4 linked regions of the Saccharomyces cerevisiae S288C genome follow. The protein of the gene in region 1 interacts with the protein of each later gene in a biochemical or structural test. Each region holds a gene or a part of one and is shown in the gene's direction. Other genes may lie near its edges.

The links.
Region 2: of the proteins of MCM6 (region 1) and CDC7, one has a biochemical effect on the other in vitro, tested with the Saccharomyces cerevisiae proteins (7 studies listed by BioGRID).
Region 3: the proteins of MCM6 (region 1) and SLD3 form a complex in vitro, tested with the Saccharomyces cerevisiae proteins (4 studies listed by BioGRID, with this or other methods).
Region 4: the proteins of MCM6 (region 1) and CDC45 form a complex in vitro, tested with the Saccharomyces cerevisiae proteins (5 studies listed by BioGRID).

What each region holds. Positions count from the first base shown.
Region 1 is NC_001139.9:114,851-124,678, reverse strand, and holds MCM6 (MCM DNA helicase complex subunit MCM6), read left to right. Parts: upstream 1-3,771; coding exon 3,772-6,825; downstream 6,826-9,828. Other genes in the region: YIP4 (Yip4p), read right to left, coding at 381-1,088; EMP24 (Emp24p), read left to right, coding at 1,374-1,985; ARO8 (bifunctional 2-aminoadipate transaminase/aromatic-amino-acid:2-oxoglutarate transaminase), read right to left, coding at 7,118-8,620. UniProt on the Saccharomyces cerevisiae protein: Acts as a component of the MCM2-7 complex (MCM complex) which is the putative replicative helicase essential for 'once per cell cycle' DNA replication initiation and elongation in eukaryotic cells.
Region 2 is NC_001136.10:422,517-427,294, forward strand, and holds CDC7 (serine/threonine protein kinase CDC7), read left to right. Parts: upstream 1-1,692; coding exon 1,693-3,216; downstream 3,217-4,778. Other genes in the region: ERP3 (Erp3p), read right to left, coding at 317-994; trans-2-enoyl-CoA reductase (NADPH) TSC13, read right to left, coding at 3,486-4,418. UniProt on the Saccharomyces cerevisiae protein: Serine/threonine-protein kinase. Needed for the initiation of DNA synthesis during mitosis as well as for synaptonemal complex formation and commitment to recombination during meiosis. Required for HTA1-HTB1 locus transcription repression.
Region 3 is NC_001139.9:292,586-301,300, forward strand, and holds SLD3 (Sld3p), read left to right. Parts: upstream 1-3,346; coding exon 3,347-5,353; downstream 5,354-8,715. Other genes in the region: AMP-activated serine/threonine-protein kinase regulatory subunit SNF4, read left to right, coding at 1-416; YGL114W (uncharacterized protein), read left to right, coding at 875-3,052; TATA-binding protein-associated factor TAF6, read right to left, coding at 5,593-7,143; ribosome biosynthesis protein NSA1, read left to right, coding at 7,393-8,715. UniProt on the Saccharomyces cerevisiae protein: Required for loading and maintenance of stable association of CDC45 with chromatin during initiation and elongation of DNA replication. Also involved in temporal regulation of origin firing. Required for the association of PSF1 with origins.
Region 4 is NC_001144.5:341,106-349,624, reverse strand, and holds CDC45 (DNA replication initiation factor CDC45), read left to right. Parts: upstream 1-3,683; coding exon 3,684-5,636; downstream 5,637-8,519. Other genes in the region: REA1 (AAA family ATPase midasin), read left to right, coding at 1-619; tRNA splicing endonuclease subunit SEN2, read left to right, coding at 1,445-2,578; LCL2 (Lcl2p), read right to left, coding at 2,645-3,040; APC9 (anaphase promoting complex subunit 9), read left to right, coding at 5,858-6,655; ERG27 (3-keto-steroid reductase), read right to left, coding at 6,772-7,815; MIM2 (Mim2p), read right to left, coding at 8,037-8,300. UniProt on the Saccharomyces cerevisiae protein: Required for initiation of chromosomal DNA replication. Acts at the origin of replication. Also has a role in minichromosome maintenance.

The sequences.
Region 1 (9,828 bases):
AGATTGTTACTTGTCCTTTGGTTTGCACGCGCGCTATGTTATCTTATATATATAGTAAAACAGAAAAGTCTCTAAAGCGCCTTCACCATGTAATGTTTGCAAGTGTGGCTATAGGCACAGGAAGGAGAAGAGTTCTCAAACAATTGTGGTAAACGGACGCTGTGAACTTGAAATAGACTTTGCCAGACTCTGCGCTACCAATTCATCAGAAAGCCTAATCTTGCTTTGAACTTCTCTTACACTCCACGGAGTCTGCCTTAGCCACACGCCAGCCCCTGTGAGCGTCCTCTTTTTTTTTTTTTTCAGAACTTTCTGCCGTGGCTCGCGAGATAGGCAATTCTATGTCCATGATATTGGGTTTTATACATATGTAACTAGTGTTATAAAATAGTTGACAACCAGGCCATGCCAAAAAGACAGAGTGCCAGAGGGTATATCTCGATAATGGTCTTGCTCTTGGTAACCCACGAAACGGCGGCCACAGACCACATCAGGCACAGCGCCATGACCACCAGTTTCACGAGCGACAGGACCCTCACAATCCAGCGATTTTGCTTTCCAATATGGTAGGCCAATGGAAGTAGTATCTGCGAGACTAAGGCATTCAGCACTTGTGGGAATAAGCAATACCCGGAAATGGAGATGTACGAAATCAGCGACACCCTCTGGTGTGGCTTGGTGAGTCTCAGATGCAATGCCATCACCAGCAAAATGAACCAACTAGACACAAATAGGCTCGAGAACAGCGACCGCGCATGCGATACAAATAGAGAATACAATATGATAAACGCAAGGGGCGCCCACAGGTCGCAATTGGCTGAAATGTCGTTATCAGCCGCCCCTATCCCGTCATCAGAGGGGCTAAAGAATGAGGGGAAATGCGGGTATACCACTTGTTTCAGTCTGGAATTAATCTCCACCACATCTCGCTTTAGTGTTTGCAGCACAGTCTCGTCGAGCGTCCCTCTGCTGCCTGAATTCTGCATAGTTCCGCCTATGTTGTCAGCAACACCCCCGGAAGCAGCCAAAGGTGCATCTGGTTCTATGAAGTCGGGCTCAATCGTAGTGTCTTCTCTTCCGTATGACATTTTGCCTGCCCTCTTGTGACATATCTTTCTACAAATATTGCTAAAACAGCTTCATTTGCTATTGTAAAAGGGGACGAAAAATCACTGTGAGAAAATCATCACTCCGGGTAATCCAATTTTCATGAAAAAAGACGCGAGGAAAGTCAGAAAAGTCGTGCAAAACAGCCTGAGAGATCGGGTCGCTTAAACATTTTGACACGAAACTTATAATGAAATAAAAAGCTATACTTGGTGAAACTGCAATCTTAATAGTATCCCTCCGCACAAAAATACACACGCATAAGGATGGCCTCATTTGCTACTAAGTTTGTCATTGCTTGCTTCCTGTTCTTCTCGGCGTCCGCCCATAATGTCCTTCTTCCAGCTTATGGCCGTAGATGCTTCTTCGAAGACTTGAGTAAGGGTGACGAGCTCTCCATTTCGTTCCAGTTCGGTGATAGAAACCCTCAATCCAGTAGCCAGCTGACTGGTGACTTTATCATCTACGGGCCGGAAAGACATGAAGTTTTGAAAACGGTTAGGGACACGTCGCACGGTGAAATCACATTGTCTGCTCCATACAAGGGACATTTCCAATACTGTTTCTTGAACGAGAACACCGGTATCGAGACAAAAGACGTGACTTTCAACATTCATGGGGTGGTATATGTGGATTTGGACGACCCAAACACCAATACATTGGATAGTGCTGTCAGAAAGTTGTCCAAATTAACCAGGGAAGTCAAGGACGAACAAAGTTATATTGTTATTAGAGAAAGGACGCATAGAAATACTGCAGAGTCGACCAACGATCGTGTTAAATGGTGGTCCATCTTCCAATTGGGCGTCGTTATTGCAAACTCTCTTTTCCAGATATACTACTTGAGAAGATTCTTTGAGGTCACATCTCTAGTCTAAGTAAAGCAGGAAAATGTAGTTCATATCTATTTACTTTTGCCTACATACGATTACATACACGATTGGATAACCTGAAGTCGCGAATAATTCTCGGTTTCATACTTTTTACCTTGATCCTTCCACTGTTTTTCCCTGTGCCAATTACATGTAAATAAATATATACATATATATGGTCCAGGCGCGCCATAAAACAAATACAGGTTGTAGCGAATCAAAAAATGGGAAATACATACGAAAAACTTGAAAGAAACAAGTACCACAGGACATGCTGTGGTCCGTTTTTCCCCAGAGCACTTTTATGTGGGACTCTTAGAAGGGAAATAGCTCTGTTCATATAGAACAAAAAAAGAATAGCCCTGTAGGGGGCTCGAACCCCTAACCTTATGATTAAGAGTCATACGCGCTACCGATTGCGCCAACAAGGCTAATTCGTTGGAAAACGTCCCCATTTCAGGGAAACATAGCTCACGATGTTAATAACTGATTTGTAGCCGAGCCACATTGTATCAACGCGTGATTAACACATGTTTGGAATATACTGTTGGAACAAGAATCAACTAGTGCTCATATTAGCAATATATTACTATATACGGTGTAAGAAGATGTCCACTATAGTCAGCCATATTCTTGATCTTACGAAAGGGAACTGTGATGTAAAATTTGTGACACTGTGACACCTTCTAGTGAAATATAGGGCATTACCAAAGTCACTAATGAGTAAAAATACCAATTACTGTCCGTAGTTCGTCAGATTAGAATCCACTATATTTTCTTTGATTGGGAGTTAACGCTGCATACTTGTCTTGGGTACTGCGTTAACCATAAATCACATAAGCGTCATTCATTATCGTACCTCTGGGTAAGTGTTTTTCAGGAGTTTTTATATATAATATGCTGGCCCCCAAGGCGGATGAGGACTGTATACGGTTTTGACGTTAAAGTGTTATATGAATCGCAGTCGCATACACTAGTGGACCCCTAGTTCCGCGATACGTAGTTGACCCTCAGTACAGAGATTCCCACGATTAACGGGTGTACTGCTCCTGACTAATGTAATTTTGAGTTCACCTGTTGATGTGGTGCTGATACTGGCACCAGTACTAATGTTTGGAAGAACTCCGTAGCATTAAGTGGAGAGATTAATCCGATACTGAGCTGAATAGTTGGTTTCACTCCCGCAAAAAGATATCAATACAGTTTGCTAACAACTTGGGAAACCCTGATGAGAAGAATTAGCGGTCATCCTGAGAAATAGGTGACCATTTAAATGGTCACTTGAATTCGATTTTCCAGTAAGGGAAGTGTCATTCGGAATCCAGAATATACCAGAAATAAGCAATTTTGCATGATAGTGCTGTTATCCTTTCTTGTGTTTTATACGATATCATACATCACCCCATTACGTTATTTATCTTGCATTTCAGTTTTTACTGGGTTTACCCTTTTCGCGATTTATATCATATTATCACCGCACATAATATACTAGTAACATTACTATTCGTCGACAAACAATAGCTTGTTTTGATTCCAGTTCTCATAACATTTGTGTACCTATTCTTTTGCCGTTCCTTCGCTATTTGGTATTGTCATCTAAGTTCGTCTATTAAATTTCCTTTTTAGGAAAAGCGCCTAATAGGCCTTTCTTGAAGCTTTTTTTTTTTCTTTCTTTAATCTACAATAATAACAAAATATTTCATTCTTAAGTGATTTACAGCGAGTATCTTACACTTCGCCACCGGTGGATAGGAAAAATAGACTTACCAAAGGTTAAAACTGGTTTTTTTCAATGTCATCCCCTTTTCCAGCTGACACACCAAGCAGTAATAGACCTTCCAACTCCTCTCCGCCACCATCGTCGATAGGTGCTGGCTTCGGAAGCAGTAGCGGACTCGATTCGCAAATAGGCTCTAGGTTACATTTCCCAAGTTCTTCTCAACCGCATGTCAGTAATTCACAAACAGGCCCTTTTGTTAACGATTCCACTCAGTTTAGTTCTCAAAGGTTGCAAACCGATGGTTCCGCGACTAATGATATGGAGGGAAATGAACCTGCCAGAAGCTTCAAAAGTAGAGCTTTGAATCACGTTAAGAAAGTTGATGACGTTACTGGTGAAAAAGTCCGTGAAGCGTTCGAGCAGTTTTTGGAAGACTTTTCCGTTCAATCCACTGATACTGGTGAAGTTGAAAAAGTTTATAGAGCTCAAATTGAATTTATGAAAATATATGACCTAAACACCATTTATATAGATTATCAGCATTTATCCATGAGAGAAAATGGTGCTCTAGCTATGGCTATCTCAGAACAATATTACAGATTTTTGCCTTTTTTACAAAAGGGTTTAAGAAGAGTAGTAAGAAAGTATGCACCTGAATTGTTAAACACAAGTGACTCATTGAAGAGATCCGAAGGTGACGAAGGTCAAGCGGATGAAGATGAGCAACAGGACGATGATATGAATGGGTCGAGTCTACCAAGAGATTCTGGATCATCAGCCGCACCAGGGAATGGGACATCTGCCATGGCAACGAGGTCAATAACAACTTCTACGTCACCTGAACAGACGGAACGTGTTTTTCAAATCAGTTTCTTCAATCTACCAACAGTTCACAGAATTCGTGATATAAGATCTGAAAAGATTGGTTCACTATTGAGTATATCAGGGACAGTGACAAGAACATCTGAGGTCCGTCCAGAATTATACAAGGCAAGCTTTACGTGTGATATGTGCCGTGCTATCGTAGATAACGTAGAACAGTCCTTCAAGTACACTGAACCGACATTTTGCCCGAACCCATCATGCGAAAATAGAGCCTTTTGGACATTAAATGTTACAAGATCCAGGTTTCTTGATTGGCAAAAAGTCAGAATTCAAGAAAATGCTAACGAAATACCTACAGGCTCCATGCCGCGTACGCTGGACGTCATTCTTCGAGGTGATAGTGTCGAAAGAGCCAAGCCAGGTGACCGTTGCAAATTTACGGGTGTGGAAATTGTAGTACCTGATGTTACACAATTGGGGCTACCAGGTGTGAAGCCAAGTTCAACATTAGATACTAGAGGTATTTCGAAGACTACTGAAGGTTTGAATAGTGGTGTTACTGGTTTACGCTCTCTTGGTGTTCGTGATTTGACATACAAGATTAGCTTTCTGGCATGCCATGTTATCAGTATTGGATCAAACATTGGTGCAAGTAGCCCTGATGCAAATTCTAACAACCGAGAAACTGAACTACAGATGGCTGCTAATTTACAAGCTAATAATGTATACCAAGATAATGAAAGAGATCAAGAAGTATTCTTGAACAGTTTGAGTTCAGATGAAATAAATGAGCTGAAGGAAATGGTAAAGGATGAACATATTTATGATAAATTGGTCAGATCTATTGCTCCAGCTGTGTTTGGCCATGAAGCCGTAAAGAAGGGTATCTTGCTTCAGATGCTCGGTGGTGTTCATAAGAGTACTGTAGAAGGTATTAAGTTAAGAGGAGATATCAACATCTGTGTTGTTGGTGATCCCTCTACTTCTAAGTCTCAATTTTTAAAATACGTAGTGGGATTTGCACCAAGATCAGTTTACACTTCCGGTAAGGCCTCGTCGGCTGCTGGTTTAACAGCTGCGGTTGTGAGAGATGAGGAAGGAGGTGATTATACAATTGAAGCAGGTGCTTTAATGCTTGCTGATAACGGTATTTGTTGTATCGATGAATTTGATAAAATGGATATTTCAGATCAAGTTGCCATTCATGAAGCTATGGAACAACAGACCATCTCTATTGCTAAAGCTGGTATTCACGCTACTTTAAATGCAAGAACATCAATTCTAGCGGCTGCCAACCCGGTAGGTGGAAGATACAATAGGAAACTATCACTGAGGGGTAATTTAAATATGACCGCACCGATCATGTCCAGATTTGATTTATTTTTTGTTATTCTTGATGACTGTAACGAAAAAATTGATACCGAATTGGCATCTCATATCGTTGACTTACACATGAAAAGAGACGAAGCCATTGAGCCGCCATTTAGTGCAGAACAACTACGTCGTTATATCAAATATGCACGTACTTTTAAACCAATATTAACGAAAGAAGCCCGTTCCTATTTAGTCGAGAAGTATAAGGAACTGAGAAAGGATGATGCCCAGGGATTTAGTAGATCGAGTTATAGAATCACAGTTAGGCAACTTGAAAGTATGATTAGATTATCAGAAGCTATTGCGAGGGCTAATTGTGTCGATGAAATTACTCCATCATTCATTGCAGAAGCTTACGATCTTTTAAGGCAAAGTATTATTCGTGTTGATGTGGATGATGTGGAAATGGATGAAGAATTTGATAACATAGAGAGTCAAAGTCACGCCGCTTCTGGAAACAATGATGACAATGATGATGGGACTGGGTCAGGTGTAATTACGAGTGAGCCACCAGCAGATATAGAAGAAGGACAAAGCGAAGCTACAGCTCGTCCAGGTACAAGCGAGAAGAAGAAAACAACGGTGACGTATGATAAATATGTGTCCATGATGAACATGATCGTTAGAAAGATTGCTGAAGTAGATAGGGAGGGTGCAGAAGAACTAACAGCTGTGGATATAGTTGATTGGTATTTATTACAGAAGGAAAATGATTTGGGTTCGTTAGCAGAATATTGGGAAGAGAGAAGATTAGCGTTCAAAGTCATAAAAAGGTTGGTCAAAGATAGGATTTTAATGGAGATTCATGGTACCAGACACAATTTAAGAGATCTTGAGAATGAGGAAAATGAAAATAATAAAACTGTTTATGTTATTCATCCAAACTGTGAGGTTTTGGATCAATTGGAACCACAGGATTCCAGCTAATTCAGTGCACTCTTGCGGATTTTCATATTTCGTTTCAAGTATCGTTCACGTTGTAAATTCCTATCGTGTGCATTTCTCTTTGTGGGAGAAAAATATCTTACATAACTTGGCTCTCAAATCAAGTTATAATTGTTGTATAAAGTTGTACTCTTAATGAAAAAACAAAATATTATATTTTGGCTTCCACTTGCAGTCTTTTACAAAAAGAAAAAATACTTCGAAATTTAAGCAATACAAAAATACGTACGTCCTTTTTTCACCTTATATATATTCTTCCAACGTATTTACCTCTCTATTTGGAAATACCAAATTCTTCGTATAAAGTATCACCTAATCTCTTCAGACCTTCAGTCAGTTTCTCAGGAGAGACAGCTGCATAGGTACCTCTGAAGAAAATTATGTTTGGATTACTGACTTCTTTAGATTCAGCGGGTTGAGGAGGTTCCGTCTCACCCTCACTCTTGAACCAAGAACCGGGAACCACTAAAACACCACGTTCAACCACTTTGTGGTAAAGACTCTGTTCTAGCTGGTAAGGGTCTGAGTTGTATTTTGTTTTAAACTCAGGGTGGACAGATGCGTCAATGTTCACGGTGAAAAACATACCTGCAATTGGAGGATTGATCACGAAAGCATCAGATTGTGGTAGATACTTGTAAAGGGCATCGATGGCACAGTCACGTTTCAAAGTGTATTCATGACGCAGGCCAAGCAACCAGTCCAAGTAACCCTTTTGACCCCACCTGGATAGCGTAGCGTTGACCAAAACTTGTGTAAAACCTGCTGGGGCTTGAATCGTCATTTCATGCAAACTCAAGTAAGGCTTCAAGATTTTGGATGAACCAGTAATCCAACCCAATCTTGTCCCTGGGGCCAAAACTTTTGAAAAGGAATCCATTCTAATAACACGGCCTTCTGTATCCAAGGAAAGGAAAGTGTTTGCCAAGGACTTCAAAAATTCGTCATGGTCCTGCTTTGGAGAACTTTGTGCCTTCTCTCTTTCCTTCAAGTCTTTGATGTAGGGATTCATTTGTAAGAAATAATAAGGTTCATCTTCCACAATTAGGAAGTCGTACTTTTGAGCGATCTTGTAAATTGCCTCCTTTCTATGGTCTGCAATGGAAGTACCAGTTGGATTTTGGCCCGTTGGAATAGTGTATAACAACTTTGGTTTAGGAGCACCAGGTGTCCAGTTTTCCATGACTTTAGCTAATTTTTCAGGAATGATACCATCAGCGTCAATTGGCACGGGGAAGGTAATGACACCTTGAGCCTCTGCAGAAGCCAATGAAGAGGAAAAAGAATGTGCCTCAACTAAGATGACATCACCTCGGTTACAAAAGACTCTTAAAGTAGATTCCCAGGCATTTGTGTTACCTGCAGTGGCTAAAACGTCCCAGTCCTTATACTTCAAATCGTGGATAATCTTGGTATGATCTCTAATGAAGTTTAATAGTTCAGGTTGACCAGCACTGAACCCGTATTGCAAAGCTCTTGACAAAGGAATATCGTTGGAAGGATTGGCACTTTTATCAGCGTAATCTTTGTTGACGGTGTATTTTATGCAATTCTGCTCGTCAATTGGAGCTCCAATACCCTGGGGAAAAGGAGGCTTGGGTGAATCTACAGATAGATTATCCCATGGGAAATAATCTTTTAATGGCAGGCCACCACCCAAAAAGATAATGTTAGGATCTTGGAAAAGATGGATGCAGGTTTTCAATGGGGATGGTTTACGAGCATTGGTTTCATCCGAAAACAAGTAAGAAAAGTCTTTTGATTCAGGTAAAGTCATGATAGTAACGATCGGTTGTCCTATTCAATGTCTGTATCAACTGCAGGGTTTAACTTAGTGGAATGGAAAAATAAGAAAAAGAAATAAGTTCTTAAAGATATAACCAAACCAAATATATAGTCTAGAGATGTGTATAGGAGGGTCTACAAGATAAGAAAAAAGATTGCGATACACATATCTTCAAATGAAATGCGCTTAATATTAGTCATAGATTGGACCTCGAGAAAGTGAAAAAGTGCAGAGTGAAAAATGTGATAAAAAAAGGAAAAAAAGACATCTAAGGTAACCCGGATGTTCTTCATTATTCCGGCGCAATTTAGTACTGTTCTTCTATCAATGGCAATTCAGAAGCCAGATTCTTGAATGAGGTGAAGGAGAACAATGGTTATAGGTTAATTAAGAGATTTTTGGATGGTGTATATGAGCCATGTTTAATCTTGGAAAAATAGTGAACCGGGAAAAAAATAAAGAAGAACTCCTCATAGGGGGCTCGAACCCCTGACATTTCGGTATCCTTGCTTAAGCAAATGCGCTTAAAAGCCGAACGCTCTACCAACTGAGCTAACAAGGATGAGTTCTTCGGATTTCTTCGATAATAGTTTTAGTTAAATATACATTATGTTCACATAATGCTATTATTTAATGCACATGTTAATGGACGGTAAACTACTTATCATTTATTGCAACAAATGAAAAGACACCACCCTAACAGCACGAAAAATGATGTTAATGTCTTGTATAGTATTGTCGGATAACTAACTCTCGTCTCAACAAAGCTTAAATAAGAGCTGAGAGATTGGTGAATTTTAAGATGATTGTAGGCATTTCATTGTTGATCAAGGCTACAATATTATGTATACAGAATATACTAAAAGTTCTCCTCGAGGGTAGAGGAATCCTCAAAGGGGAAGCGATATTTCTACATAATATTATTACGATTATTCCTCATTCCGTTTTATATGTTTCATTATCCTATTACATTATCAATCCTTGCACTTCAGCTTCCTCTAACTTCGATGACAGTTTCTCATACCTTATGTCATCGTCTAACACCGTATATGATAATATACTGGTAGTGTGACTACTAGTTTATAGACGATAGTTGATTTTTATTCCAACAGGATCATTTTGTTAGGTGAGGAATTGCGAGCTTTTTGGCTATAACTTTCAAGTTTTGTCACCAACATTTATATTTGCTTACTGCAGCC
Region 2 (4,778 bases), on another chromosome or scaffold:
AGCGAGTTGATTGACTGCAAGTGTAATTAAATAGGTGGAAATTGCATGGTGCATATGCCAATGGCTAAGAAAAAATTACTCTTACAAAGATTATTTTGTCAATTTCTCGAAGAAAACAATGCTACATTTTGAAATAGGATTTTTTAAATCGTGACATGTGCTTTAATAGAAACGTCACTTCAGCTCTGTCATTACATAAGATTTAACATGAGCAAAAGGGCTATTTTGGATACGGTATGTCATTCCTTTCCCCTATTAAATATGAAGAACATATATTCTCAAGTTGATAGAAAATGCAGGAACAATACACAACTATTTACACATTATGCTTTCTCGATTCTCTGAAAATGAACTCCAGTATGGCAATTTGAGCGCAGCTCATTCCGATGATTAATAATATGCCGTAAATAGAAAACATTACAATTCTATGCTCTGTTGAACAAACGGTGTGATGATTTCTGGTGTTTCTGCTTTTATAGTACTGTATATTACGTTCCAAAACGTGGAGCTGCCTTTCTATGGTGTCTATAGAATTTTCCACACTGTCTTGCAAGGGATCGGTTTTAGAGTCTCTCAGGTTTCTCTGCGCCTTTCTCGCCTTGCGTCTTTCATTTCGAATATCATCTTGGCGTTCACAATTGTACTTGAAGTCCAGATCAACAATCTTGTCGTGTGCTTTACCACCATAAAAGCAGATAGCATATTCTCCCTTATGTTGGCCTATAAATGACCATTCACCTTGACGTTCACCAGATCTCTCGATTATTGGCTTGTTTTTGTCATCAGGAGCAAATATTTCGTAGTTAACATCAAAGTCATTGCTCTCTCCTTGCTGTACTGCAAAATAATATGAGATTGTACAGTCAATTTCCGGAGTTAGCGTATATAAGCACTCCTTTCGACCTTTATTCAGTTCAAATGTCAACGGTGATGCCTCAGCAAAAAATTGTGCTAAAAAAAAAAACTGGAAGAAAAGTACACATAAATTGGACATGACGGAGTTTTTTAGTCAGTTCACAGTGTCCCTTCAAGTACGGTAACTATCAAGAGCCTTACCAGTTTCTGTCAAGATATTGTCCCCCCAAATTCTTTCATTGAGGAGAGGATTATGAAGAACGCGTTCTGTTTTAAAGAGAGAAAAATTCAGGTCAGGACGCGTTGGTCTCACCTTTGTTGACATAATGACCATGACAGTGTAGGAAGTCTAAGTAGTATGTGGAAACCTACGCGATCATACTGATACGTTCGTAAACTTTATCAACGAACGACGCTTTTTTTTTAAACCTCTATATAAGCATGTTTTTAGCTTGGGAAATTAAGGTGTAGCCCTGGTTTTGAAGATAATTAAGAATCTAATGGGGCAATGCTTGTGTAGATGACATTTTATAGAGTAAAATTACTTCCCGTTTAGCTCGATAAACGCCTTAGGCCTACATAAATCTTAAACATTTGTCCCCGGTCAGCTTTTAAATTATGTCTTCTTTGCCCTGGGGCGTCTTCTTGAACGGCATCAATTTAGTGAGTAGAAGAGCACTTCACATTTCCGCCTAAAATCAATGCAAGAACCATTAACAAAAAAAACCGCTCAGCAGGCGTAACGGGAAGTAACAGACTACCTTAAATTTTCAATAACAATTGTGCTATTATCTAATTTTCTTAGGAAAGAGGCAGTTTCGAAGTAGAACAATCATAATGACAAGCAAAACGAAGAATATCGATGATATACCTCCAGAAATCAAAGAAGAGATGATACAGCTCTATCATGATCTACCGGGTATAGAAAATGAATATAAACTCATAGACAAGATCGGTGAGGGAACATTTTCGTCAGTGTATAAAGCCAAAGATATCACTGGGAAAATAACAAAAAAATTTGCATCACATTTTTGGAATTATGGTTCGAACTATGTTGCTTTGAAGAAAATATACGTTACCTCGTCACCGCAAAGAATTTATAATGAGCTCAACCTGCTGTACATAATGACGGGATCTTCGAGAGTAGCCCCTCTATGTGATGCAAAAAGGGTGCGAGATCAAGTCATTGCTGTTTTACCGTACTATCCCCACGAGGAGTTCCGAACTTTCTACAGGGATCTACCAATCAAGGGAATCAAGAAGTACATTTGGGAGCTACTAAGAGCATTGAAGTTTGTTCATTCGAAGGGAATTATTCATAGAGACATCAAACCGACAAATTTTTTATTTAATTTGGAATTGGGGCGTGGAGTGCTTGTTGATTTTGGTCTAGCCGAGGCTCAAATGGATTATAAAAGCATGATATCTAGTCAAAACGATTACGACAATTATGCAAATACAAACCATGATGGTGGATATTCAATGAGGAATCACGAACAATTTTGTCCATGCATTATGCGTAATCAATATTCTCCTAACTCACATAACCAAACACCTCCTATGGTCACCATACAAAATGGCAAGGTCGTCCACTTAAACAATGTAAATGGGGTGGATCTGACAAAGGGTTATCCTAAAAATGAAACGCGTAGAATTAAAAGGGCTAATAGAGCAGGGACTCGTGGATTTCGGGCACCAGAAGTGTTAATGAAGTGTGGGGCTCAAAGCACAAAGATTGATATATGGTCCGTAGGTGTTATTCTTTTAAGTCTTTTGGGCAGAAGATTTCCAATGTTCCAAAGTTTAGATGATGCGGATTCTTTGCTAGAGTTATGTACTATTTTTGGTTGGAAAGAATTAAGAAAATGCGCAGCGTTGCATGGATTGGGTTTCGAAGCTAGTGGGCTCATTTGGGATAAACCAAACGGATATTCTAATGGATTGAAGGAATTTGTTTATGATTTGCTTAATAAAGAATGTACCATAGGTACGTTCCCTGAGTACAGTGTTGCTTTTGAAACATTCGGATTTCTACAACAAGAATTACATGACAGGATGTCCATTGAACCTCAATTACCTGACCCCAAGACAAATATGGATGCTGTTGATGCCTATGAGTTGAAAAAGTATCAAGAAGAAATTTGGTCCGATCATTATTGGTGCTTCCAGGTTTTGGAACAATGCTTCGAAATGGATCCTCAAAAGCGTAGTTCAGCAGAAGATTTACTGAAAACCCCGTTTTTCAATGAATTGAATGAAAACACATATTTACTGGATGGCGAGAGTACTGACGAAGATGACGTTGTCAGCTCAAGCGAGGCAGATTTGCTCGATAAGGATGTTCTCCTAATATCTGAATAGCAAAGTGATAAATTACTGCTAGTCTGAAATAATTTCCTTTTCTTTGGAAAGAGAATTTTAAAAGTACTTACATATTTGCATAGTGAAAGATTTAAATAAAAATTTCTTAAAGTGAAACGGTTTAGCATAATTGGTGGCATGCGCTTAAGATAGTGCCAAATACCAAAAGGCACAGGTGCAGACGATACTTAAACAATAGTGCTACTACGCCACTTCGTGAAAGCTAATATCTCTTTACCTTGCATTTGGGCATGTTGCAAACAGGAGGATCAAAATACAAATGGAATCAAGAATGCTCTTCTGGTATGATACTTTTTGTTTTTCTTTTGAGCCCATGCGTACATTTGAGCTGTTGAAACAGTCAAAAATAAAACGGCAAATAAATTGAACTTGAACACAAAAGTAAACCAAATCCAAGACCAAACTTCAAAAGTATAGTTGGGAGCAACAAAAAGATTGAAAATACCTTGATTCAATGGGACACGGATCTTAGCGTTACCATGCTTCTTTTGATAGTCACCCCATAGGCGCAATTTAATGTGGCAATAAAAGTTCCATAGTTCTGAAAGCACGAAAAGACCAATTAATGTACTCAAGTCATCCAATTTCAAATATGAATAGTATTTGAATAACTTAGCATTCCCAAAGGGGAAGCCGTAGCCAAAGTAACCGAATGAAATGAGACCGCTTAGAACCCAGTAATGGAAACAATTTTTGAACAGGTTGAAAATTGGCATAGTAGCTAAAGAGAATTGGTGAACAAATAAGGTTTCAAATAATCTCTTTCCATAATGTCCTAAAATTAAAAAATATGCAACCCTGTTTAAAAATGGATTATAGTCGGAGCTAGCACTGTGCCATCTATCAACAACTGTGGGAATGGTAGATAGATAATAAAAAAGGGAGTGAACCAAGACTGGACCCAAATACTCACAAAAGAAGACTAATCTCCATGAAATTTGGGGACCCAAATCTTTGATGAAGAATTCCATTGAGTCATCAGCCTCTTCTTGAAAAAACGATTCTGAAATAACCGGAACTTGTTTAGATTCCTTTTTGTAGGTTAATCTTATCCTGTACTTGCTGATATTGTGGTTATTAGCAGAGATTTTTTTCAAAACATCATCTAAAGTAGGCTTTTTGGATAAGTCAATTTCAGTGTCCCTTAACCCTTTAGAGCGGCTTTTTATGGTGATAGGCATTTTCAAATTAAATTCAAAATATGTATCTCTCTCAAATAGCTCAATTGGTTTCTAGATAGCTAAATAGAATATAATCTTACTGTCCTCCGTTCTGTAAAATTCACGCTCTTAGTCCCTTTTCATAATTCCTTAACTTTTTGCGTACAAAATGATATGTTTATTATATTTTTCTTTTTTTTTTTTCAAATTTTTTCTTTTTCTTGAAAAATTTTTCAAATTGGAAAGCTCATCTCTCTTGAATGTATAATACTTTCTTCCTCTAACTTTCAAAAAGTTTTACATAGCCAAGAAGTTTTCCTTACATCGGTATACTACTGTTATATAAGTTATTCTTCGAGAAACAATTAGATATCATTCATC
Region 3 (8,715 bases), 180 kb from region 1:
AGATTCCAATTGGGGACTTGAACATTATTACGCAAGATAACATGAAAAGCTGTCAAATGACCACTCCGGTCATAGACGTCATTCAGATGCTTACCCAAGGTCGGGTTTCTTCCGTCCCTATTATTGACGAAAACGGCTACTTAATCAACGTATATGAAGCATACGATGTCCTAGGCTTGATAAAAGGAGGCATCTACAACGACCTGTCATTGAGCGTCGGAGAAGCCCTTATGAGGAGAAGTGATGATTTTGAGGGTGTTTATACATGCACTAAGAATGATAAATTATCTACTATTATGGATAACATCAGAAAAGCAAGGGTGCATAGATTCTTTGTAGTTGATGACGTCGGACGGTTGGTTGGTGTCTTGACGTTAAGCGATATTCTCAAATATATCCTTCTAGGTAGCAACTGAAACGAGCCGATGAGATTTTTGTGTACATACTATAAATAAATGCAACTAATAAAGTCATGATTAATCAGTCATGCATACTTCATCTGACCAATATATTTTCATCTTGCTTATTTTGGGTATAATTCGGCGGAAATTCGGTTATAAAGCGAAGTGAAAAATCGATTAGTAATGATACTGATGCGATCTCTGGGAGGGGGGAATGCTGCATATAAGGGTGAAGGAAGATAATGCAAAGCCTTTTGTAGTATTGTCTGTTGATACCAAAATAAATTAGTTCATCAAAAAGGTACAGGCAGCTAAAGAAAAGCTGTAAATTTAACGCCGTAGAAGGTATTTTTCGTGAGATCTATCTCAAGGCATCATTTTTTTTATTTTCGCACCAAGATAGGAAGAAAAAGAGTCACAGTATAGAGGACTAACCGTTAAAGATTCTAAATCGGTACTGTAAATACTTTGAAATGCCTCAATCTACTCCAAGTCAAGAAGTACAGCGTGTACCATGGGATAATAAACCTGCTTTGAAGCAGATAACACTCCGAGCAACCATAGCAGGTATCGCTATAGGGTCTCTGGTGCTAACATCAAATTTTCAATTTGGCCTGCAAACCGGTTGGGTTTCCATGATGTCCCTGCCATCGGCATTGTTAGCTTGTGCTTTCTTTAAAAATATCTGGCCATTAATATTTCCGAACGACAGGCCTTTCAGTGACGTTGAAAATGTATACGTACAAAGTATGGCAGTAGCTGTCGGAACAGGCCCATTAGCCTTTGGGTTTGTCGGCGTCATACCTGCCATCGAGAAGTTCCTTACTAACGACGAAAGTGGTGGATTAAGGGAACAAGGACAGTCCTTCACTTTTAGAGAATTGTTAATATGGTCCACAGCCCTAGCATTCTTCGGTATTTTTTTTGCAGTTCCTCTAAGAAAGCAAGTAATTGTTAGAGAGAAACTTCCCTTCCCCAGTGGTAGCGCCACGGCCACTTTAATTTCAGTGCTAAATGGAACTGAGATTTTACAAGAGGTTTCTAAGTCAGAGTTATTGGAAATGAGGCAGAGGAGATTGAATGAATGCCCTGAAGTGCTACAACCCAACAGAGATCCAGAGGAGGCGGATTATTTAATGAACTCTTCTCATAGCGAACTTGGTGATTATACGGCAACTAGCCAAGATGGAAGTTCTATCCTTTCTACTGGCTCTGAGAACTACAGAGCGAATATTATTATTTTATTGAAAACTTTTGTTGTTTCTTCGCTTTACACCATGGTGTCATATTTTGTACCGGTAATACGGTCTATTCCAGTCTTCGGAAAATACCTCTCGAACAATTATCTCTGGAATTTTCAGCCGTCGCCTGCGTATATAGGCCAAGGGATAATAATGGGTCTTCCAACAGTATCGTATATGCTTATCGGGTGCTTCTTAGGCTGGGGTGTGTTAGCACCATTGGCGAGATACAAAAGATGGGTACCACCAGATGCTGATGTCCACGACTGGGAGGAGGGAGTGCAAGGATGGATTCTTTGGTCGTCGCTTTCAATAATGGTTGCTGACAGTGTAGTCGCTTTTATTGTTGTGACAGTGAAGTCCATTGTGAAATTTATTCTTATAGATGACAAAGCTGCTTTACTGAACAACATAATCGATGATACATTTCAATCTATGTTACTGGAGGAGGAACGCGCCATTAATAGCAGCAGAAGAAATACATATGTTGATGGAAGGCAGGACACCGTAAGATTAGTGAGTAGAGATAACGAAATAGAAGTAGATTCGAAGCATTTGGTTCGCTATACCACCGTTATCAGTGGATGTCTAGTCTCCTCGATAATATGCATTGTTTCCATAATATATTTGTTTGGGATACAAGTAATTCCCCTATATGCTATTATCACTGCTTTGATACTTGCGTTGTTTCTATCTATTCTCGGTATTCGAGCACTTGGAGAGACCGATCTGAATCCTGTGAGCGGCATTGGTAAGATCTCTCAATTGATTTTTGCCTTTATCATACCAAGGGATAGACCTGGATCAGTGTTAATGAACGTGGTATCGGGAGGTATTGCAGAAGCCTCTGCCCAACAGGCGGGCGATTTAATGCAGGATTTGAAAACGGGGCACCTCCTCGGCGCCTCCCCAAGAGCTCAGTTCTGTGCCCAATTGATAGGGGCCTGTTGGTCAATTATTTTGTCTAGCTTCATGTATTTGTGCTACAATAAAGTTTATTCAATTCCGAGTGAGCAATTCAGGATACCGACAGCAGTAGTGTGGATAGATTGTGCAAGACTAGTAACTGGTAAAGGGCTCCCTGATAAGGCCTTGGAGTGCTCCATGATTCTCGGAGTCATATTTGCCGTTTTATCATTAATCAGAAACACTTATAGAGATTACGGATACGGGTGGATATTATATATTCCGTCTGGTGTAGCAGTCGGTGTTGGTATATTTAATTCTCCCAGTTTTACAATTGCAAGATTCATCGGCGGGTGGGCTTCGCATTTTTGGTTGAAGAATCATAGGGGTGACTTAAATGCGAAAACAAAAATGATTGTATTCAGTTCGGGGTTGGTCTTAGGTGAAGGTATCTTTAGCGTAATAAACATGCTCTTCATCTGCTTAAATGTCCCTCACTATTAGGTATATAATATTTTACTAATAAAGAATTTACAAAGTTTACAAATTTTAAATTATTTACTCATCACATAATTCGATGTCTTAGATTTCCCTGTATATATATTTCTAGGTGACAAAAATCCTAGGCAAAATGTTATATTATACGCGACCTTGAAATATCGGCTATCTTGGTGTACAACATGGTCCATTTAAGAAAAATAAAAAAAAGTGATGGGCACTGTTAAAACAGGCAGAAGCCTCATTCATAACTGCTGAAGGGTTAAGATCGTATAGGTAGGAACGATCTGACCTCTCATAATGGAAACATGGGAAGTCATAGCATCGGTAAAAGAAGCAACAAAAGGCCTTGACTTGAGCTTAGATCATCCACTTATTATTAAATCCGAGGACGTGCCCAGTAACATTCTCCAATTACTGCAACAGAAGAATCGACGTCAATTGAAACACATCTGCATGAAATCAAGAAAAGAGTATTTTCTACTAGAGGAATATGGGCCAGGATTTTGGGTTAAGTGGCCGTACAATTATTTCAATGGTTACAGCTTACCAGAAAGGCGTACGGAAGTTGTAACGACAGTTGAAAGAGAAAGAGCTAAGCGTGAAACGTTAAAAACATGGGACGAATTGAAATTTAAAGAGCTTCTTCATTTATGGTCAGAAGAACCCAAGGGCTCGTGTAAGCTTGAGAAGGACAAAGACCTTAAACTGGATATGAATCCCCCAGATATGAAAGGCGAATCAAAAATTAATGACTACTATTCAGACCCTAAAGAGTACATAGAAAGTAAGTATTATGATGCTCTTTTTTCCATACATACGCCTCTCGCATATTTCGTCAAGTCAAATTTAGTAAGGCTCAAAAATACCTGCCGAACCAAGTACGGAAGTGACAGTTACAAAATAGCCTATCAAGCCATGCTGCAAAAATTTCTTCTCTCAATTGTACAATTCAAAGATAGACATGATAACAGGCTTTTATTAGAGCCCTTTTCTAGTCCCATAGCAGATGAAAAAAGGAAGAACTGTCTCACAAAATTTGTTATCCAAGATGAAAACAAAAACAGCTCAACCATTGCTGATTTATGTGTTGTATTAAAATCCCGCGAAATAAAGCTACAAATATTATTGCTATTAGAGATAATAGGATTGAACGATTTAGATTGGAATTTTAGAGATTTTGAGAAAAAGTATAAATTAAAATTGAAGAAAAGATCACTTAATTTGACAAAAAAGGGATTAGTTCGTCGAAGATCGAAGAAAAAAACCAGCGAAAAAGACAAAGGAATCGAGAGAATAACAACATCTTTGGATTATTGTGAACAGTTAGACTTGTACTTAGATAGAGCATGCATCTTGGACATTCTACTATCAAGTGAAACGCCCAACCCAGATGCCATAGAAGCATCAAATGGAACAATACAAGAGCATAAAAAAAATATCCTAGACAAAAGCAAAGAAGCCTCATTGGTTGGGTTCATAAATTATGTTCTTATTCCATATTTCAACAAAAAGGTACCACACGCCGTTGAATTTATAATTCAAAAGCTCAAGGGACCAAGCATGAGACCAAAGAGAGCCCTGAAAAAGGTCAACGATAGCACAAATGTATCGTCACCTAATACTGTAGAAACGTATAACAGGTTATCCACGAGTCAACGTGCCTCTCGCTCTTCAATCATTAATTCCGTCCCATCTTCACCCGCATTGAGAAGGGTGGACGCTAATTTGTTCAGCAGAAAATCTATAGCTTCGCCCACCCCTGAACTTTTGAATTCTAGAACGAACTCTAACTTGAATGAATTTCTCGAAAGTGAAACTAGAAGCTTAAAGCGCCCTTCACAATTGGGAAGGACGAAGTCTGATCTAACGATGAATCATTTACAAAAACGGCAGTTTTCTGTCTCTGACTTAAGCACAACAAGAGTACCGAATTCATCAACTATCACACTCAAAACGCCTTTCTCGCACTCAACTATTAATGCATACAAAACTATGAATAACTCTTTTCGCAGAGTTGGGAAACGTAAAGATATCAATGAAACGATACGCCTACATGAACGTGTAGACTCTGAGGAAAACGTACAAGTTCAAGCCACTCCTGCTGTGAAAAAAAGAACTGTGACACCTAATAAAAAGGCGCAACTTCAAAGCATCATTGAATCGCCGCTAAATTTCAAGGATGATGATACGCATGAAGGCAGAAAAAATACCTCCAATATTACCTCTACTCCCACTAATAAGCCCCCGGAAAATAGCTCAAAAAGGAGAGTAAGAAGACGTTTATTTGCTCCAGAATCCACATAGAATAAGAAACTGCGAGACCACCTTCGCTGGCAAGTAGTTGACCCAACTCCATCTTTGTAGCTTTTCTTGGACGAAAAGGGAATAAAATAAAACTAAGCTACAACAATTTCGCACTTCGGGGGCCTTTGAGTATACAATTAAATAACTCATCATGCATATATATATATATACATACAATGGCGTATGTAAAAACTGTTATATAACATTACCGTTGTACTATTAGTATAAACCGATTCTCACTATTCGCCAAAAAATATCGCACTAATTAATTCTTTTGCGTCGTCTCTTTTCAAAATGTGAAATCCAATAGTGACACCACACCTCTCTAGCAATTTTTCCTTATCCTCATCCGTAACTTTTTCACCTTTACCCTCGTACAAATCTGGTAAATCCTTTTTTAGAACTAACAATGCACTAATTACAGTATCAACCAAGATTTGAGTTTCTTCTTTAGTAAATTTGGTCCTAGTTGGATTGGAGTCATCGTTCAAATGTTCCTCTATATTGTCTAGAGTTATTCCGCTTTCATTGAATACCAAGCGCGCCCAATTATTTAGGTTTCCTAAGAAGAATCTGATGGATTCACCTTCTAGTACCGATACACCCTTTAAGCACCCATAGTAAGTCCCAAAAACACGGTTTATGTCCAAAAATGTCTTTAGCAGTGTCCTAGTTACTCTTGGCTTCAGGGATTTGTATGCTTGAGGAAATTTTTTCAATACATAGTCCAACAAAGATGCGGCAAAATCACGTAGTGCATTCGTTCTTTCTAAAAATTCATGAATTTCTTGCGGCGAATCATCTTTTGGTGATCCACCAAGTTTTTTTGCTAATAGCAAGGTTAAAATGGAAGGCATTAACGAATGAATATAAGGGTCCAGGAAAATAGAAGTATTGCTTAGTAAAGAGTAAATCATTTCCAAAATTGTTGTTAGCAATTGTAAATCGGAAAGATTTTGTGTGATTTGTTCGGCAATAAATTGAATAAAATATGGAACCAGTTGGTGCAGGCCACTATCAGTTCGTAGTGAAGTCAAAGCTGCTTGTTTCATATGCTGTGCAGCTTCATCAGCTTGACTCTTCGCTGTCAAGGTTGAAATGACCTTATTGAAATAAATCTGTAATTCTTTGGATAAAACGTGTTTCACTAAAGGTTTGACTTCAGTATTCTGTCCTGGTTTAACATTAGACAGGTGTTGAGAGGCGCCTGTATCCGTCACAGAAGCACTTGCTGTCGTCGACGTTACAGGTGTTTGGAGGCTGTTATCATTCAAAGCAGTGACAATAGCACCTCTAATAAATGGTGGTTGGGATACCCTTATATCATTCAAATTTGGATTTTGGATTATGGCAGGTTGAACCCCTTCAACTGCTAGCCAATGTGTAGTAAAAGTTGGTAGACGAGGCACTTGCGGTAATGGCTCATTTATTAATCTATCAAAATCTACTTCTTCCTCATCCAGGTAGTAAACCGACTGTCCTCCACTTGTGTTAACCTTACTAAATGATACAGCTTTATTAACTTCAGAGCCATCATAATATCCATATAAAGGTTCCACATTCAGAACACGCAGGGCCTTCGATACATCGTCTGTAGTTAAAACATCTCTTTTAGAGTGTCTTTTAAACTTGACTGCCTGTTCAATAATCTCTAGAATACGGTATTCAACGTCCATAGCAAGTGCTTTCAACACGTCATCGTTGATATTTTCCAACCCAAGCGACTCAGCGACATCTTTAACAGTATCTTGTGGAGACCAAATTGTGTAAGATTGCTGCTGTGTAGACATTTTAACAGGCTATCAACTACACTGAGGCGTCCTTTGCTTCCTTTTTAAAGCCAATCTATTGTTTTCGCTCATGAACTACTTTTGCTGCTACTTGAATCGGTGTTTGTTATTGATGGTTTCCGGGTATTTTTTTGGTAATAAAATAAAGCTGAAAAATTTTGTAAAGCGATGCCCAATCTCGAAGCCTCACTTCAATGAACATAATACAGAGAAAATTTAACCATAAATAGGCCCAGCTTCGATCGTAAAATGAGGTTACTAGTCAGCTGTGTGGATAGTGGATCCATAAAGGAAGTTTTGTGTAACATCGGGACTGACACTTCCGTACAATCAGCACTGCAGCCTTTTCATGTGGCACCTCATCTAGCCGAAGGATTGAAAGCTTACGTTGACAGGATGTGGGTGATATCCGAAGATGAAGCCATCTTAGCAAGGAATTCAGGGGTCGTCGAACTTGTAAAGATTTCGAAACACCTTAAAGAAAATGAAGCTCTCCAGGTCGATCCCAAAGGAGAAAGCAAAAATGAAAAGAGCCTTTCCGATGATCTACCCAAATTTGACATATCCGAGTTTGAGATAACCAGCTCAGTTTCAGACCTTTTTGATGATGCCAAATTGGAATCACTTTCAAGTAAATCTGTTAAAAGAACCAAGTTGGTGGATGGTTTTGTCACATTATGTCCCATAAAAAAGGATTCGTCGAATAACACATTCGTAGCTGCTACCAAATCGGGATTATTACATATTATAAAAAAAGGAGAAGATAAAAAGTTAATAAAACTAGCATCCCTTGGACTGAAAGCACCAGTAGAATTTCTTCAGTTATATGATCTAGAAGATACCGATACTGATAAATATATATTTGCATACGGAGGGGAGGAGAATTTAATAAAATTAGTGGAAATAGATTCGAGTTTCCAATCTTTAAAGCAAATTTGGGAAGCCAAGAATGTTAAAAACGACAGGTTGGATATGAGAGTCCCAGTATGGCCCATGGCCCTAAGATTTTTGGAGCCCTCCCCTGGTAAAACTGAAAAGGGTAAGCTGAACTACCAGTTTGCAGCCATAACCCGTTGGTCCCACCTCACCAAATACAGCACACAACATGGCAGAAAACCGTTCGCTCAGATAGATTTATTACCTAACCGTGAACCATTATCTCAGATGGAAGTTTTTGATGCCAAGGGAGAAAATGTTGTCTCTTCGTTGGGGAATTTTCAATCTGAAACCTTTAATGAACTGAATGTGATTACTACTGACTACAAAAAGAATGTTTTTAAATTCGATGGTAATGGAAGAATGTTGGGCAAGGTGGGTAGAGATGATATCACTGGTTCGTCAACCTATATTCATGTACATGACGGCAAATATCTTTTACAAGGTGGTTTAGATAGGTATGTTCGGATCTTCGATATAAAAACTAACAAAATGCTGGTGAAGGTTTATGTTGGGTCCCGTATAAATTTTATTGTTATGCTGGATGACGTTGAAATCGAGATGCCACTAAGTCCAAGTGCGAAAGCTGCCAAAGGGAAGCAAAAAAGGAAGGTTACAGAACTTGAAGAAGACGCA
Region 4 (8,519 bases), on another chromosome or scaffold:
AATGATTGCGCTTGATGATTCTAAGTCTATGAGCGAATCTAAATGCGTTAAACTCGCTTTTGATAGTTTATGCTTGGTCTCCAAGACGTTAACTCAGCTAGAGGCTGGAGGGTTATCTATTGTCAAATTCGGTGAAAATATTAAAGAAGTTCACTCATTTGACCAACAATTTAGTAACGAATCTGGCGCAAGAGCTTTTCAATGGTTTGGTTTCCAAGAAACTAAAACAGACGTTAAGAAACTTGTGGCTGAATCTACTAAAATTTTTGAACGTGCTCGCGCTATGGTACATAATGACCAATGGCAACTAGAAATTGTAATCTCTGATGGTATTTGCGAAGACCATGAAACAATACAAAAACTGGTCCGCCGTGCTAGAGAAAACAAAATTATGCTGGTTTTTGTCATCATAGATGGTATTACTTCTAATGAATCCATCTTAGACATGAGCCAAGTGAACTACATTCCAGATCAGTATGGCAATCCGCAATTAAAGATTACCAAATACTTGGACACATTTCCTTTTGAATTTTATGTTGTTGTACACGATATAAGCGAACTACCCGAAATGCTTTCACTGATTTTGCGTCAATACTTTACAGACCTGGCATCCAGCTAAGTATATCGTGAAAACCAAGAAGAGGAGGTTTACTACACGAATCAAAGGAACAAAAAAATCATGGAACTGAAAAAAAAAAAAAAAAACTACTGTAAAAAACTACTGTAAACTATAAATTATTAATTAGACTGAACGTATACCTATATAAACCTGATATAAAAATGATTCAAGTTATTAGTCCTTTGCATTTTCTGTTAGCAATCCTTTGTCAATTAGCCCTAAGAAATATTATTCCCATATGGGTAACCAACTCTCTTTTTTTTTTTTTTTGAAGGGATCAATACTTCAGTCAGATATTTAAAGAGAAAAATTTTCTTCAAGATGCAAGTTTCCCATTCAGTTCTATAGGAAGTTAAAACAAAAGAGCTGTTTGAGAGCTCGTAGGCTTTGGTTGTTAAGAGAACGGACTAAATAACACCAGGAGGTGTGTCTAGACTTAGTTGAACGAGTTTTTTCTCGTGCTATTATATCTGTTCTTAATACTTCCACTTTATTTTAATGATGATAGCATGATTTATGTTGCTCGAAGTTAATCGATGTGAGCACAATGATTTCTCAAGACTACAACGGTATCTGAATTTTATTTCTTGTCAAAAATGTTTTATAGAAGCCACTCTTGCTATAGATTTATATTGCCACACATAACTTTTTCACGTAAATTTGAAAGAGCTATATTAGCTGGTGCTTTCACTAACATCTCTTTGCTCTAGTATTTCATTTCGGTGCATAAAACATTTGAACTTCCATCGAAATTCAATATGCTAAAACGTTTCATTGTAACACGACGCTGAAAAGACAATAAGTACGAAGGACTCAAGAAGGAGCATGTCTAAAGGGAGGGTCAATCAGAAGCGTTACAAGTATCCTCTTCCAATTCACCCCGTAGATGACCTTCCAGAGTTAATCCTTCATAATCCGTTATCTTGGCTATATTGGGCATACCGCTATTACAAGAGTACGAACGCACTGAACGATAAAGTACATGTAGATTTTATAGGAGATACCACTCTTCACATCACGGTTCAAGATGACAAGCAAATGCTATATCTTTGGAATAATGGATTTTTTGGCACTGGTCAATTTAGCAGGAGTGAGCCTACATGGAAAGCTAGAACAGAGGCCAGACTGGGTCTCAATGATACTCCCCTCCACAATCGGGGAGGAACAAAGAGTAATACTGAAACGGAGATGACTTTAGAGAAGGTCACACAACAGAGGAGATTACAAAGATTAGAGTTCAAGAAAGAACGTGCGAAGTTAGAAAGAGAATTACTAGAATTAAGAAAAAAAGGTGGTCATATCGATGAGGAAAACATCCTCCTTGAGAAACAACGAGAATCATTAAGAAAATTTAAACTAAAACAAACAGAAGACGTGGGCATCGTTGCACAACAGCAAGACATTTCCGAATCAAATTTAAGAGATGAAGACAACAATCTTCTTGATGAGAACGGTGATCTTTTGCCACTAGAGTCACTAGAACTAATGCCAGTGGAAGCTATGTTTTTAACTTTTGCACTTCCTGTTCTTGACATATCTCCCGCGTGCCTGGCAGGGAAACTGTTTCAATTCGATGCCAAATATAAAGATATTCACTCCTTTGTCAGATCATACGTTATATACCATCACTACAGATCACACGGTTGGTGCGTAAGATCTGGTATAAAATTCGGCTGCGATTATTTATTATATAAGAGAGGGCCACCATTTCAACACGCTGAATTTTGTGTTATGGGTCTTGACCACGACGTCTCTAAAGATTATACGTGGTATTCTAGCATAGCCCGTGTTGTGGGCGGCGCAAAGAAGACGTTTGTGTTATGCTACGTGGAGAGACTAATCTCGGAACAGGAGGCGATAGCACTATGGAAATCAAACAACTTTACTAAATTGTTCAATAGTTTTCAAGTTGGTGAAGTATTGTATAAGAGATGGGTTCCCGGAAGAAATAGAGACTAGAATATCAATGAGAAGATAAATCCTTCGTATGTATATATGTATGTGTATGTATTTTTTATACAGATTTCAATGGTTTTTGTAAGCATCTGATACCCATCCACAATCCCTAAACCCCTTGTTCTTTGCTTTGGGGCCCTTGACAGGGTCATCATATATTGCTCTAAACTTTTCATTGTGTGTGGCTGGTTTGGATATGCAAACAAATTTATTATCAGGAAGGACACATTTCAACTGAGATTTAGGGAAGGGACAAGGACAGTCTTTCTGCTGTGCAACGCACGTTAGGGTGTCCGGACACAAATACCCATCACAAGGGTTATTTAAAACTTGATCTTCATATGATTGTTGCTGTTGCTGTTGCTGTTGCTGATGATGACCGAAATTGAAGAAGGCATTCACTCCAGTGCTGCCAAAAATAAACAATGCAAAGATGAGAACGATACTCCAGCGACTTTGACTCATACTACAGTAAAATTTGGTCGTTTTTTGCCTGGCAAACCATGCCTATTTTTCGTCATTAAAGGTCTTCTGAGCTTTCATCAAAATTATCTCTATAATTATAAAGGACAGCTCAGAGCCACACCCAAACATCTGCAAAGGTAAAGGCCATCTTTCATCTCACATTGCCTAACAAGAAAGTCACATTGCAATTGTTTCGAGAAGAAAACATTAATTCAATTACGTGGTTCCCATGCGTCTGTGTTAAGCGTCAATTTATCATTTGACGAACTCGTTGCAACCACAAACAAAGCAAGGGCCGCATTTATCAAAGGAAAACCAACCAAAAGCATAAATAAACGAGATTTTTATTATGAAAAAGCCATGCGAATCCTACTAGAATAAATTCAAAGTGAAGACATTTAGTCAATTCGATCTTCTCTCTCTTGCTTTAACTAGTCGTAAAACCTAATAAGTTTCATTCACGACGCGTATTTTTTTTTCAACATATCATCTAACGCGTTTTAAGAAATTTCAGTAAATAATGAAGCTGTAGTAATGCCAACAATCCATTGTGGCTACTTTATACAACGCACTATAGAGCAATAAAAGTGTAGCAATAAACACTAGAGAGAAGGCACATAATAACAAGAATATACTCTCGCACATGTATTATGGAATCAGCCAGTTTAGCGAAGCCTACAACAAAATCTTAAGGAATTCATCGTCTCATTCATCATGTCAATTGGTCATTTTCGTTTCTTGTCTTAACATCGATGCGCTGTGTGCGACGAAGATGTTGTCACTATTATTCAAAAAACAATTGGTACAATCTCAAATAGTACCGATATTTGGGTACTCTGAATTACGACGCCACTATTCTCAATTGGATGACAATATAAATAGTCTGCTATTAGTAGGGTTTGGAGGCGTTATTGATCTGGAGGCTTTCTTAGAAATCGATCCCCAAGAGTATGTTATCGATACAGATGAAAAGTCGGGGGAACAAAGTTTCAGGAGAGACATCTACGTGTTGGATGCTCATAGACCGTGGAATCTCGACAATATATTTGGATCACAAATCATCCAATGTTTTGACGACGGTACGGTGGATGACACATTAGGCGAACAAAAAGAAGCATACTATAAATTGCTTGAACTGGACGAGGAGAGTGGTGACGATGAGCTCTCAGGTGACGAGAACGATAATAATGGGGGTGACGATGAGGCAACTGATGCCGATGAAGTCACAGACGAGGACGAAGAAGACGAAGATGAGACAATATCTAATAAAAGAGGTAATTCTTCAATAGGACCGAATGATCTCTCAAAAAGAAAGCAACGAAAGAAGCAAATCCATGAATATGAAGGTGTTTTGGAGGAATACTATTCTCAAGGCACAACAGTGGTTAACTCGATATCTGCACAAATCTATTCATTATTGTCTGCTATCGGAGAAACAAATCTTTCAAACCTGTGGTTGAATATACTTGGTACGACCTCGTTAGATATAGCATATGCTCAAGTTTACAATCGATTATACCCCTTATTGCAAGATGAAGTGAAGCGTCTCACACCAAGCAGTAGAAACTCAGTAAAGACCCCTGATACATTGACGTTAAACATCCAACCGGATTACTACCTTTTCTTACTGAGGCATTCTTCATTGTACGACAGTTTTTATTATTCTAACTATGTCAATGCCAAACTATCCCTATGGAATGAAAATGGGAAAAAGAGATTGCATAAGATGTTTGCTAGAATGGGTATACCATTAAGTACTGCACAAGAAACATGGTTATACATGGATCATTCTATTAAGAGAGAACTTGGGATAATATTTGACAAAAATTTGGATCGTTATGGGTTGCAAGATATAATTAGAGATGGGTTTGTTAGAACTCTTGGATATCGTGGGTCCATAAGTGCCAGTGAATTTGTCGAAGCACTAACAGCTCTTTTGGAAGTAGGTAATTCAACTGATAAGGATAGTGTGAAAATAAATAATGACAATAATGACGATACAGATGGAGAGGAAGAAGAAGATAACAGCGCTCAAAAATTGACGAATTTGAGAAAAAGATGGGTTTCGAATTTTTGGCTCAGTTGGGATGCTCTAGATGACAGAAAGGTGGAACTATTAAACCGTGGCATTCAACTAGCACAAGACTTACAGAGAGCAATTTTTAATACCGGGGTTGCTATATTGGAGAAGAAATTAATCAAGCATTTAAGAATTTATAGATTATGCGTCTTACAAGACGGACCCGATTTAGACTTGTACAGAAACCCATTGACGTTATTAAGATTAGGAAATTGGCTCATAGAATGCTGTGCGGAATCTGAAGACAAGCAATTGTTGCCCATGGTGCTTGCCAGCATAGATGAAAATACGGACACTTACTTGGTTGCTGGGTTAACACCTAGGTATCCTCGCGGACTAGACACGATACACACAAAAAAACCTATTTTGAATAATTTCAGCATGGCGTTTCAACAAATAACTGCAGAAACGGATGCTAAAGTGAGAATAGATAATTTTGAAAGTTCCATAATTGAAATACGTCGTGAAGATCTTTCACCATTCCTGGAGAAGCTGACCTTGAGTGGATTGTTATAATCAAATTTATATTATTTAGTCGTACATATATACCAGCATATGAATATAAAATCTAAGCTTTTTCAAGCTTTTAAGTCCAACTTTTCTATAATAATACCATATTTTGTGCGCGGCTCTTGACAAAACAAAAAAAAAAACCTAAATAAAAGGAAATTAAGAACAGGGAACTAGGTTTGGAAGGACAAATTCAGGAAGGAAAGAAATAGCTGTGACAAAGTAAGATGAACCAAAATGGTGATAAGAACGAAGGCAAGTTGTTTCAACTACCGTCATTGCCGCCCTGGAAAACACCAAGGTTCAACAAAGCCAACTTTAACAATTTTACCACACCGCTACGGAAAAGGTCGACAAGGGTAATAAATGATGATTCGATGCCCATAACAGGCGAAGTACTAGAGGAGAGGACTGCAGATGATCTCTATGGGATAAATATGGACGTAGACGAAGTCGACTATCTGAATACTTTGAGCCACATCGAGGAAGAAAAGCAATACGATTATTCACCGTTTTGTGAGCGCAATACGCTAAGGGAAAGTAGAATTGACAGTTTTTTGAAAGCCGAAAGGGCAGCACATTGTCTTGTGTTTCATAAGGTGGGCCATCTAGACGGCATAGACAGCTATCGACCCGATATTGACATCATGTGCGGCGAAGAGGCTAATAAATATGACAGTGCGAATCCGGAGGGCAATGGTTCAATGTTGTTAGAGAGTGTACCTGGATGCAACAAAGAAGACCTGGAGAGGTTATCAAGGCGAGAATTTGTAACAAATTCGAAACCTAATATGAGACGGTTGGATGACATAATAAATCATGAAACGAACGCCTTAAAAAGTTTCTGGAACGACTCAGGATTAGTCAATTCACTCCAAAGTCATCATTTGCATGAAGAGTACCTTCTTTTGCAAGAAGAATTAAAGAATGTGTACAAGATTAAATGCCATGACAGAGTGCCAATAGAAAGTCTACGCGATAAGTGCAGAAGACACTATAGCAACGAGGATAGTTCGTTTCTCTGACAGAGGCAATGCCTTTTTTGCTTCACGTGTATATATATCAGTTGATATGCGTTTTCTATACAGACATACATGTATATACACACATATATATATATACATATGTACGCAGAGATATATTAAATGGGGGTTCTAGTTTCAACAATTTGATCTTTCAGTTTCTCGTCCCATTCCAGTTTCTTCTTCTGTATATAAGCGAAGACATCAGACATTCCAGTAGGGTCTATTTCCTGCGTCTTGATATATGGCATACCATCCCTAGAGGTAGCAGAACCGTATTTTACGTCTTGTTTCTCAAAGTTTGGATTGGCCAATCTAGTTACGTATACTGGGGCATTGGCAGCTTTATAACCATCAATATTGTGCCATGGAGACCCCAACAGCCTGGCCAAATAGAACAAGCATAGCATGCCGAAATAGGTGAAAAAATTCAAATATTCGGAGAAGGAATGGCTTGTAAATATGCCCGGTTGAACTACATACTGATTTATGCCCAGCTTTTTCAAGTCTTTGTAGGTGGCCAAATGCAGTAAATCAACTAAACGCTTGGAGCCCTCATAAGAGGCATTTGTCTTTAGTAGTTCAATATCGTTCAACGAAAGATACTTAGGATCGGACATAATACTCGAAATCCAAACAATATAAGCCTTTCCCCTGGTCAATTGAGGCAGAATTTTACTGATAAAGTAGTACGGACCAAACACATTGGCCTGGAAAATAAGCCCCATGTCATCTTTAGACTTGACGCCCACCAGTTGTATCTTGTATGTCGGATTTGTCACTGCCTCCAATGGATTGGTGAAAACCTCCTTGACCGCTCCGATCCAATCTATACCGTCAAAGATACCTTGCGCAGCATTCACGAAAAGGTAGTTTATCGCCCTGTACTTTTTGTTGATGTCGTAATATGCGTTCAAGACACTCACCATGTTGGTGAAGTCCACCAACAGATAATCAAAGTCTATTTCCAAATCCTCTACACGGCCTGATTTGTTGTAAAAATCTTTAATCTGGTTAATCACCTCCTGCACTCGAGGAAGCGTTCTAGAAGTCACCACAATGGTCAATCTGACATTGGTGTCCTCAGTTTCAATCAGACGGAACACAATGTTCAGACCAAGATTACTATTAGTACCCGTTACGATAGCTACTTTCCTGTTCATCCTATCCTCCTACTTTTTCTCTTTGCTACTTTTTTTCGACACAGATCATGTGCTTGTTTCTCGTCCTATCTTTTAAATACCTGCTCAATTCAAGATGCCGTTCTTTCGTTAAACGACCATAAATAAAGGCCCACGTACTATCGGAGATAAAACAACGGGTGTGCGAAAAGTGCCATTTATCTGTTATAACTGCTATATGCGGATACATAAACAACAAACACTTATACAAAGTGTTCAATGAACCTACTCCATAGAGTCTTGGCCATTCTCCTACCTATATACTTGCCCAGCAGGGGCAGCAGGACCCAGTTGAGCAGCTTGTTCAACTGTTGCAGCGACTCTTCCCATTGACGCTGTGCATCTGCGAGCTCGTTGCTGAGTGACGTGTCCTCGTCGCTGAGGTAACCATCTTCTTCCAGGCCCTCCACGCTGTTGATTGTGTCGATGCCCTGCAGGATCACAGAGGTATCCTCGCTATCTGCCATGTTCTAGTTATTGTTGCTCGTGCAGTGATGTGCTGTGGTGCTGGGGAGTGGTTTGCTCTGCCGATCTTGCTTGTAACGGCCGGCCGTTAAATGGGCCTTCGGGGTCCAAACGAGGCGCGGTTTCGTGAATCTTGCTTGGCTGTTTTTGGCTTGTTAATCCCAATTTGCGATAGTTTACGTTTCCACGGGGCACTGCTCAACGGGTTTAGTTCCGTGGAG